Schizosaccharomyces pombe: one gene and its partners. The gene in region 2 interacts genetically with the main gene of each other region. Each region holds a gene or a part of one and is shown on either strand. Other genes may lie near its edges. The genes, in order: ypt7, btn1 and rhb1.

Region 1 (3,758 bases), on a different chromosome or scaffold from region 2:
ATTTATAAAGTGAACTGGAAGAAACTAAAAAAAATACTTCTCATCAAATCATTCACAAAAATAAATAATTATAAAATTAGGTCCATTTAAGAAGCTTTTCTAGTAAATCGAGTAATCTCACCTTAAAGTAGTAATGGTGGTAGGGAGGATGAATCTATAACAAACTTATATAAGCTGTACGCAATTTCAGTTTCTCTTACGTTTTCAAACTATACGATGATTAAAGCGCCAAATTGGGATTTTTTGCTTTGTTTATTTTGTTCAAGCCAAAGAACCATTCTTAATTGCTAAATTCCAAGTTATGGATTTTAATTGACTAAATACAACCACATCTTCTGATGCCACTAACTTTGAATATTCTTTTCAACCATATTTCTACAAATGTTTTTAATGTTAAAAGGTTGATATAAATAGAATTCATTTTGCTAGATCAAGCTAGTTTCAGATAAATAATAGAGCATCAATGAAAGCTAACGGCATAAGCAAAAATAACATAAAAGGCAGACACGTCGTACCAGAGGTGCACGGACTTAGTTAATCATTTTGCGAATAAAAGGCCGATCTAAATACTTTAACGGTTTCTATGCTCTCAACACTTAAATGAAGAGCAACATAAATGGGAAGAAAATGGAAATAAGAGAAAAGGCAAAGACTATCATAAGACACCAATCATGCAAATAAGAAAAAACCCATACAAAGAAATGTCCTTAATTAAGTAGCTTTAAGAAGAATAGGGTTTAACAGTAACATGAAGTTTTTTGACTCTCCATATCTAAATGAATAGGATCTGTAAAGTCTGCCGCAATATCGTCAGAATCCATGTTCTCCAGAGCTAACTTAGCCACTGTTTCGAATGCTTCTTGAACATTGATAGCTTCTTTAGCACTTGTCTCGAAATAGGGAATTTCTCCTCTAGCTTGGCAAAAGGCCAATGCTTTTGATTTTGAAACCTGAAATTATTAGCAAGAAATTCTCAGCTTTGTATTAAAAATTCAATACTTTAGACACATACCATCCTCTTTTGTTCTTCCACGTCGACCTTGTTTCCAAGCAAGATAAAGGGAAATGTCTCTGGATTGCTCGGTGATGCTTGAATCAAAAATTCGTCGCGCCAGCTATCTAAAGTTTCAAAGGACTTGCTGTTATTAACATCATAAACGAGGACACAGCAATCTGCGCCTCGATAAAACGCAACCCCCAAACTCTGGAACCGCTCTTGACCAGCGGTATCCCAGAGCTGTAATGTAACGACTTTGTCATCGACCAGAACTTCTTTGGTAAGAAAATCCGCTCCTATGGTTGCTTTATAATCTTTGCTAAACTTTCGATTCACATACTAAACAGATTTGGTCAATAACTTTCATTTCAAACATGACAGTCATAACATTAACATATTTCAAAAAACATACCTGATTCATGATAGAAGTCTTTCCAACACCGCTTTCTCCTAAAATAATAACTTTCAGCAAATGCTTCTTTTTGCCGGCCATATTTACAGCGTAAAAACGAGATAATTCGATATATTATTGAAGGCCAATAGTCCTAATTGAACCAAGAATCCTTTTGAGATCTGCAAAAAAAAATAAATTTATAAATTACTTCTTTCTTTGAAACGGAAATAGTTGCGCACGTTCCCTTGGTGTTTGCTCTGCGAGTATCAAGGCTTGTGAGTCTACCCTTCATATGCCTTTCACGTCATGAGTATAACGAACTTCATCATGCTTGGGTATTTTGATCAAAAGAAATATGGTAAACTTCACTATTTAAATAATTACTACATAGGCAATCCGATGTATACTGACAACTTTCTTATATGCTTGTCGAAAACAGTAATGATTTATTAATACATTGGTAGGAATCTAAGTTTTTATTTAAATTTTATTTTTTCAAGATTTAGTAGTCAATTTTTCCAGTTCTTTCATCTCGTCTCGTATTGAGTAAGTTGCTACCATATTTTGTTTGTGTTGTCTTCAAGAGAATATCACGCAGTCTCCTATCTAACTGGTGTTAAATGGAGTTAATTAAAAAAATACAAGATAGGGATGCTGCTGAGAAAGCGTATTACGATGTCATAGAACCATATTCAGAACTTTTGGAATTCAGTTTTCACAAAGAGTTTGTGAGTGAAGAGAAAGTCACCCAAAGGACTGCGTCAAGCGATTCTCTGAACACCATTGCTAGTGAGAATAATGACGAGAACGTAATAAACCTAGAAGAATTTCGGCAATTGAAAAGGAATTGTGATTTATATCAAAGGAATTTGCAAAAGCTGCAGCTGCTGTTCAAACAGCAATCCCAAAAAAACACACTCTTAGAAAAACAGCTTTCACTACAAACTGAGTTGAATCAGGAGAAAGATAAGCGGGTTAAAATACTCCAAGATGAGCTGTGGGCTTTACAACTTGAGGTAGCTGCTTTAGAGAGGAAATCTCCTAATGCCTAAAATTATCCGGGATTCAATTTTTTGTCGACAGATTATTTTAGTTATACTGTTAAATTTAGAAAACGTCGATTCGCGCTAGGTTCACTAATTATGATTTTACGAAATGTTTGTTATGCTTATGGATTAATATTAAATATTTTCTAGATGATTTCAAGTTAAAAAGGATACTTAAAAGCATAATGAGAGGTCTTCGCTTGTACTCGTCGTTCCAATTTTAGAAGTTACAAGCATAGACTATCTCTTCAGTGGTTGACCGCACATTTTTATGTCAATGGATATGTCCTTTGTATAATGAGGAAACATAAGCATTCAATTACTTGTATGAAGATTTTTCGGCATTAATATCTTCATGAATATCATTTTCTACATGGTCAAAATAGTAAATTTGATTATCTCAATTCAAGTAGCTTATGTTCCCCTTTTTATTTCCTTATCGGTAACGCCTACGAGTAATTGAATTTTCAATCTGTATTATTATTTAAGCGATGTCTTGTTATAAGTATTGGTTGAAAAAATATTATGCATTTCTTTAATACATTTGATTTTCGTCACTTGTATGCTTCTAATGAGATTGGTTCATGAATGACAACGGTTCAACAAAAGTATAATCTAGTTCTTACTGAGTAATCAAAACGAAGAATTATCCGGCGAAACAAAATATGTCTGCCCAAAGCTTTAAGTTGAATTTAATAATAGTTGCATAATTCTTTAAACTTTAGTATTTAGATAGTTCAGAAATATTGTATTGCTTGCAAGATTGAATATAAAAGCTTGGGTATCTAAGCGTAATGAATGTTACTATTTCCATTACTCTGAGCGACAATATGGATAACTCAGTACTAGTTCATAGTCTTTTAAGGTATACACAAAGAAAATTAGAAGGATAGGAAATAGAATAAGAAATATAACTTGTTTTATACAGGGTTATACTCAAAGACAAATATTTGATGCAAGGGTTTAATTTTAAAGACTACGATATACCTACAATACACTCTTTTTCCCTACTGCTATTTGGCATTCAATCAAATAAAGTGCTGCTTGTTAGAGCAGTAAGCAAAGAATACATTTATCATTGGAAATTTAAGTACGATTGGTAGTTTATTGATTCAAGGTAGCCTGCTAGAATTTGATATTTAATGTTAATCGATCAATTTTGTCAATGAGATTTTGTGTGGGCAATTGTTCACTTTAGTTTTCCTAAATTTCGTCCAGTGTATTTTTATAAAGCATTTATTGTAAAATAATTTGAAAAATTATCCACTAAAACATCATTCTCATGTATAATTCTATAATTGATTCACGCTGTATTCAACCT
Region 2 (3,758 bases):
TCTCTAAAGACGTCCAATAATTGAGAAAGATATTTTACTATTTCAGGATCCGTGTTATCGATTATTGACTCTTTCTTCTCTCGCATTTCACCAATTGTACTAGCAATTAAAATTGTATAACGAGTACAAGCATCATCGTCAAATAAGGATATGATTTTCTGTTCTGCCATATTATCTAAAAGAAGGAAGATATGAAAAGGAAAAAATTAAGTAATGTATGTTTTGATATGATTCGCATAGAATGCACAGCAGAAAGTAATTGTGCACCAAAAGTTTAAGAACTTCTGGTATCAGGAATTAGGAATGAAAAACTTCTTCTTTCAAAGCAAACCTATTAAGAACTAAAAAAGTAAACAATAGTTGAAAGAAAATGGTCGTAAAGCAAACTTGATATTGAAGCACTTAGCACACTAATGGAAGAAACGTCATAGGTTAACTCTCAATATAATGGAGATGTGCGCACTCACTATTTCAAGTTAAGGCACACCAATCTCGGCCACGATCAGCTTGGAAATGGCACAAGGAGGGTTCAAGGAATAGTGATACCAATGAAGCTAAAAAAATTCCAGAGCTATCTGAAGAGCCAACAGTACTAATAGCTAGTTCACGCTGACTACTCTCCGTAGTCTGCAAACTATGATACACGTTCACATAAACGGTACCACCAATAAGACCCTCAACGAATATGAGGAATAGTACAAAATGATAGCTGGAAGTAAGATATAGGGCCGACTGTAGTATAGTAAATAGAAGGATAATGAACTGTGTTATTGCCAATGTGCGCAAATATGGGACAGTAAAAAATGAAATGGAGGATCGCGATAGGAAAACACCAATCTGGTAAACAGTTTGGTAAGTAGGATAAAAATCCCTAAACGAAGAAAAGCCAGCTTTTTCGGGCGGGAATAAAAGAGTGGGAGCTACACCAATATTGATAGTATATTCTGAGAAGTATACAAGGAACTGCGGAAACATATGACTAAGAAGGTATGGTTGCATGAATATGAATGTTTGCTTCAAAGAATTAACGAAATTGAATGAAACGTGCCCTGCTCGAAGATCAATAGATTCAATTGGCGTATAATTGTTGTTAATTGAAGGTGATGTAGATTCAGACTCTGGCAACACAAAAAAGTACATGATCAAAAGGAAAAGCGGCAGAAAGCTAGAGATAATAAGTGTGCTGCGTACCGAGAAGTTAAACCATGTAGTCATAACCAAATAGGAAGATGCACCAAAGAGACCGGCCAAGCCTGTTCCGGAACTCCAGCACGGTAAAGACACAGAGTGATAACGACTTGATAGATGCAAGAAAGAGATTTCGCCAAAACTCGATGAAATGGCTGCCAGAGATACACCAAGCATTTTCGAAGGGACGGAGGAAGACCAAGCAATCCATTGCATTCCTAATATGGACATGAAAACACAAAAACCGATTCTCTTTGCAAACTTAAATTTATGAACATGAAGAATTGATGCTGACAACTTGCACGCCAAAGAAGGAACAATATTAGAAAGTAGTACCACACCCTTAGAAACGTTTGCGCCAACCAAATCTAAGGCAGCGGATAAAATTATCACGTAGAGAAGGTTGTTTAACAATCCAAAAATTAGGAAGCAACACCCTACTTTCGCATCTTTTGTTAACCTCAATTTAATCATGATTCGTACTATATTTAGTAGAAACTGAGGTCATAAATTTTAGTTTGAACCGGCAATACGATAGTAGACTTTTGTAAAGTGCTAGTCTACAAATTTGCTGTTGTTTCGCAAATAGCACACTTTAAAGCCCTTCTATCGATGACTTCATAGACGAGTTAACTTGTTACAAACTGTAAATAGCGAGGATCAACGAACTGAAAAGCAAGTCGAGATATGTTTAACATTTATTATTCGAGTAGCAATAAGTTGAAGAAAAGAACTCGTAAGCGCTTAAGGGTACAAAAAAAATTGAGTTTTTAGTAACTTCGTAAGAGAAAGGCTACTACCCTTCACGAATGGCGTATTGAGCGATTGAATTATTACGGTAATGTTGTCAGGTTCAAAAGAAACCGATTTTGAATGTTACACTGTTTTTTCCAAGCAACCGCTATCAAGCTAAAGCTTACCCTACTAAAATTTCAACGACTAGTAACTGACATGCCTTGCTTGCTGTGATCGAAAAGCTCCTAGTTTACTCATGCTTCGGTTAGCACTTCTTGAAATCTCCCAGGAAAACAATTACAACATCTTTAAATATTCTATTCACGTGTCTACAGCTTCTACTTATGAAGTTATTGTTTTTGGCACGAGATTTATTTTGGTTTAATTCCGATCTTCGTTTGCTTATGTTTAAAAACTCTAAATCGTAAATCAAAACAAATTGAATATAATATCGTATGAATGTGTCTTTACCGAACTACGGTTAACATCGTTATTGCATTATCACTTTGCTCAACAATAATATAAAATAGTAATACGCATGTATCTACTATAGATATTTCGTATTGCTTAGTCAATTTTTTTTTTTTTTTTTTACTAAATGAAGGTTTGACGCTCCGTTACGACTGTTTATAATAACGAATTGGAAACCGAACCGAAAAATCATCTCGTTCATTATCAAATTTGCCTTGTTTGCTTTGACCCATAACACATTACATTTAACAGTAATGGGATCATTATGTTAGTTACTGGGAATTATATTATGCTTGATGCTGTACTACAAATTTATAATACTGTCCATAGAAAGTGCGATATTGGCGTTTTAACGAGCGTTTCGCTATCATTCTCTAGTTTACAAATCGCACCTCACCATGGTTCATAAATCCAGCAGCTACAGCAAACAGCTGTTTGCAGACGCACTTTAGAGTTTGAATTTTAGAATCTCTTTTAAGTAAAGCTAAGAGACTTATAATCTCTTAGATTTCCTTTGGTTTTATATTAACTTCAATGAGCATAATGAATTATTATGCGATCACAGTGCCATCGACATGTTTCAACATTTTTTAAGCACATGCTGTTAATACTATTTAATCCACTAAACTTACTAATGAGAGTATCCTTTTAATCTACTGATAAACAAAAGGAGTTTTCGTGCTGTAAAATGGTAATTTTACAGTACCACCCTCTCCCTGTAATCGAAAATGCATACCAGATATGATGATGCACTCATTTTAACTCTCTTTAAACTATTAAAGTATATTCCATCATTTCCGTACCCTCGTTTCAGAATGTTCATATGCGACTTGTATAAACAACTCATATAATCTGAATGCAAAACTTCCCTCATTGTTAGAGATGATCATGTGTAGATCATCAAGTAAAAAAGATGGACGATGTGCGCTTCAATGAGTTAACACTCGCATCAAGCTTTTGGTAAAGCCTTTGACTCCTATTTTTTTTGCTCAGCCTTGTTATATTTTGTTTAAACCAGTAAGAAACTGATTAATAAAAGTTTCCCCACACTTTTGAATGTTTTGTCGAATAAGCACTGTTTTTCTGTTTGTTTACAGAGTCGATTGTTTCGGTTTGAGTGATATTTAAAGCAGCATTTTTTTTGTATATATAGAGCCTTTAGTACGAACTTTCTTTTCTTTACCGATTGATTTTTGTCAAATATCATTACTGTTGCATTCTTATCTTCTTGTGTCAATATTTTTTTTTCGGCACCTTGTGCTTCTTCTGATCGCAATTTTGTTTAGTATCGATATCGCGATTTTTTTGACTCTTCTTTCTTTAACTCTGGAACGCTCTTATTAGGGTGTTGTATTTATTTATTT
Region 3 (3,486 bases), on a different chromosome or scaffold from region 2:
TGAAGAAACCTTGAAATGAAAAGAGGAAAATGTAAGGAAAAAGATAATGGTTTGAAGAGAATTTCTTCGGAATCGGAAGTTTGGAACTTTTTAGACGTGACAGTTTCAGAGTTAAACAAGCAAAAGCGCTCGCCAGGACAGACCGTGTCTAAACGACTGCATAAAAAGCAAAGGGTCGTTAGTAATCCTGATTTGAGTTTACCGTCTTCACCGGTAAAACAAATTTTAAGAAATGGACTTCAGAATTCAAAGTACGGTTCTCATAAGACAGGACTGGAAAGGTCCGCGAGCTGTAGTAGTATTGATGCTTCCGCAAACCATTCTTCCACTACCTATCGGGAACAAAGATCGTATTTGATGGAGGAAGGATTAGATACTCAGCCAATTGTACCCCGTGAAGTATCCTCTGGTCGAGAATTGGATTCAACCAACCATACTATTGGTACAGAACGTGCTTTTTTGATAGAGGAAGACGTATCAGAAGATGATGAAATTCAAATGAAAAGTATACATGAACTTCGCTTTGCTGGAGAGCAGCAAAGGATCGTTGATGAAATTGAATACTTAGTGGACGGAGTGACTTTCTCAGGTAACTCTTCTGCTTCTCGCTATTTGAGTTTAATAGGAATCGCTGAAAAAATGTTTGACAATTCATTTCGTTTATGCTTAAAGTCGATACGGGATGTCTTCTTGCGAATATTTGAAGAAATTGATCCTAAAGATACTTTACACACTTTTTTGCAGATTTATATATTTGCAACTATGGCTAATGAAATGGATTGCATGAGTTCCTTGCTTGATGCTTACTCAAACAATGTTAAACTTCTTTTGCAAACGGCTATTACTTTAGAACCGCAGGTACCGGTTTCAATTTTGGCAAAAAGCTTACCAAAAAGTGTAAAGGGAGCCGTTCAAGAATTCGTTATAAAGGCAGAGCTTACTTTTAGTTTTAGCAATGAGTCTCTTGCTTCTTCTGATTCTATCAGTCTTGCAGCTATCGCTCTTATGAAGACGTCCTCGGGAGTTTTTGCGGAAAGCGAGTTGTTTACCGAATTAATCAATCTTTTAATAGAAAAATCCTACCCCATCTTGAAGGAAAACGATGGAAGCAATAACTTCTTACTTCATGCACTTTGTAGTTCTTTAGAAAAATTTACGGATTTCCAGGGATCAGAAAAGATTCAGAAGGTTTCACAGATCTTATCCTCAAAGTTACAAATTTTAATTGATGAACACAATGAAACAAATTCACCAAAAATTGACGATACAGTTGTCCATGCATGCAGTGAAAAATTGTTGCGTACTTTGATTCAAACAGTTAATTCTAACAGTGATCATGCGTTAGCGGTTTCTAAATCAGAAGTCCCATTGTTTGCTTATAAAATTTTACAAAAGTTTTCTAATTTTTCGTCCGATGATGAAACTACACGAGAACTAATTATCTTAATCCTTGGTCTTTTACTAGGGCTAGTTGAGGAATCTCATGAGTTTATTCAAACTATCACTCATGTTGAAGGTAAGTTCCTTTTATTAATATTTTTACTAATTCTATTTAGTTTCTTTCGGAGCTTCAGCACTCGATGTCCTCATTTCGTTTTATCAAAAGAACGTAAGTTGTACTACTTCTGTTGTAAGACATTTCTAACAAATGTAGGAAAGTATCGTAGAAATTAGTGGATATGTCGTAATGATTTTAAGCCATTGCTTTTTAAATGATCCCAAAGCGTTTGCCCAACTCAAGCCTTTGATATCTCAGTTTTACGAATCTCTACATAAATTTAAAAATTTTCATTTGAAATTGAAAGAGGAATTAATGATGATGGGTTCTAATGGACTAGCCATTGTTTCTATAATTGATGAACTACATAAATCGTTGCAAGACTACTTGCGCAGTGACTTGGTAAAATGACCTTTGCGGCGCGCTGGGAACGTGACATCCACAACATCGTTGCTTTCACTCACTTTTTTTTACGATCACTCTATAGTTAATAATTTGCCTTTTTAAATATTATAATCTTGAAATTTTCTAATTTAAACAATGGCTCCTATTAAATCTCGTAGAATTGCTGTTCTTGGCAGTCGTTCTGTTGGAAAGTCCAGGTAAGCGTTTGATTGAAGTTTATGCGCAAATAGGTTTACTAACCATTTTTTTTAAATAGTTTAACGGTGCAATATGTTGAAAACCATTTCGTTGAATCGTATTATCCAACTATTGAAAATACATTCAGCAAGAACATCAAGTATAAGGGTCAAGAATTTGCTACTGAAATTATCGATACGGCTGGTCAAGATGAATACAGTATCTTAAATTCTAAGCATTCCATTGGAATCCATGGCTATGTACTCGTTTACAGCATTACTAGCAAATCTTCTTTTGAGATGGTTAAAATAGTTCGTGACAAGATATTGAATCACACTGTATGTCAAATTATTAGAATTTTTAAATTTTTTACTAACCTACTTGCTATTAAGGGTACTGAGTGGGTCCCCATTGTGGTTGTTGGCAATAAGAGCGACTTGCATATGCAGCGTGCTGTTACCGCTGAAGAGGGAAAAGCATTGGCCAATGAATGGAAATGTGCATGGACAGAAGCTTCAGCTCGCCATAACGAAAATGTTGCTCGAGCATTCGAGCTAATTATCAGCGAAATTGAAAAACAAGCAAATCCTTCCCCTCCTGGTGATGGAAAGGGTTGTGTTATCGCCTAAGCTTCTGCTTGAATTTATCATATTATGGATTAATTTATTTTAACTGAATTAACGATTTTATCTTTGCTAATGCAAGATATGGGCTTACATTACATGAGGTGATACTTTGCACACAAACGTGTTTTTTTACACATGGGTTTACAAGATTTCGACTCTTTATTTCAAATATACAAGTACCTAAACTATGGTTTTAAAATTTAGTCAATGTAATACATAGTGGAGAAAGTACAGCCAGACATTGTAGACGTAATTTGTTGAGTTAGCTCTTCGGAAGTTTTAAACTAACCAAATTAATTTTTAGACATAGTATTGTTTATTAACATCTATACAAAACTATTTTGAATATTTCCCAAAATCGACCTTTTACCACTTTTCTTCATGAATCACTTAAGCTTCAGCTTTCCGCAATCGAAAGTGAAGGATATCCGTTTTACCTGGGACAATAACATCAGATTCGCCGACGTTTCCATTTACACCCACAATAGACATTGCTTCTCCACCCAATACCATTTGAGATACCTGTCCAGCAGTCGTTCCTTGCTTCACTAAGATGCAATCTCTGAAAACACCTTCATTAGGAGAGTTTGCAAAATTGTGAACGTTTTTAACGGGAAAAACTGGAATCAAATTTAAAAGTTCCATTGCCTTTGCTAAAACATTACAAACTCCAGTTGAACCGTGTCGAAATAATACCATGTCTTGGAGGTCTGCGATACGGGTTTTAAGATTTTCGCTCAAAGGTTTCAAGCCAGAGTCAGGAAAATCGTCTAGCGTATC

What was found.
Region 1: of btn1 (region 2) and ypt7, changing one suppresses a phenotype caused by changing the other (phenotypic suppression), as found in Schizosaccharomyces pombe (one study listed by BioGRID).
Region 3: of btn1 (region 2) and rhb1, changing one suppresses a phenotype caused by changing the other (phenotypic suppression), as found in Schizosaccharomyces pombe (one study listed by BioGRID).

The regions. Positions count from the first base shown.
Region 1 is NC_003423.3:3,146,741-3,150,498, forward strand, and holds ypt7 (GTPase Ypt7), read right to left. Parts: upstream 1,653-3,758; 5' UTR 1,491-1,652; coding exon 1,410-1,490; exon of another isoform or gene 1,337-1,409; coding exon 1,013-1,336; exon of another isoform or gene 996-1,012; intron 951-995; coding exon 738-950; 3' UTR 356-737; downstream 1-355. Other genes in the region: protein Atg16, read left to right, coding at 2,012-2,443. UniProt on the Schizosaccharomyces pombe protein: Ypt/Rab-type GTPases are key regulators of membrane trafficking and intracellular vesicular transport.
Region 2 is NC_003424.3:2,049,991-2,053,748, forward strand, and holds btn1 (battenin CLN3 family protein), read right to left. Parts: upstream 1,759-3,758; 5' UTR 1,663-1,758; coding exon 472-1,662; downstream 1-471. Other genes in the region: protein Mil1, read right to left, coding at 1-170. UniProt on the Schizosaccharomyces pombe protein: Involved in vacuolar transport and vacuole pH homeostasis. Also required for cytokinesis.
Region 3 is NC_003423.3:473,050-476,535, reverse strand, and holds rhb1 (Rheb GTPase Rhb1), read left to right. Parts: upstream 1-2,038; coding exon 2,039-2,100; exon of another isoform or gene 2,101-2,159; coding exon 2,160-2,418; intron 2,419-2,472; coding exon 2,473-2,709; 3' UTR 2,710-2,866; downstream 2,867-3,486. Other genes in the region: wpl1 (WAPL family protein), read left to right, coding at 16-1,516, 1,557-1,609, 1,655-1,909; SPOM_SPBC428.15 (Obg-like ATPase), read right to left, coding at 3,097-3,486. UniProt on the Schizosaccharomyces pombe protein: Binds GTP and exhibits intrinsic GTPase activity. Regulates entry into stationary phase when extracellular nitrogen levels are adequate for growth.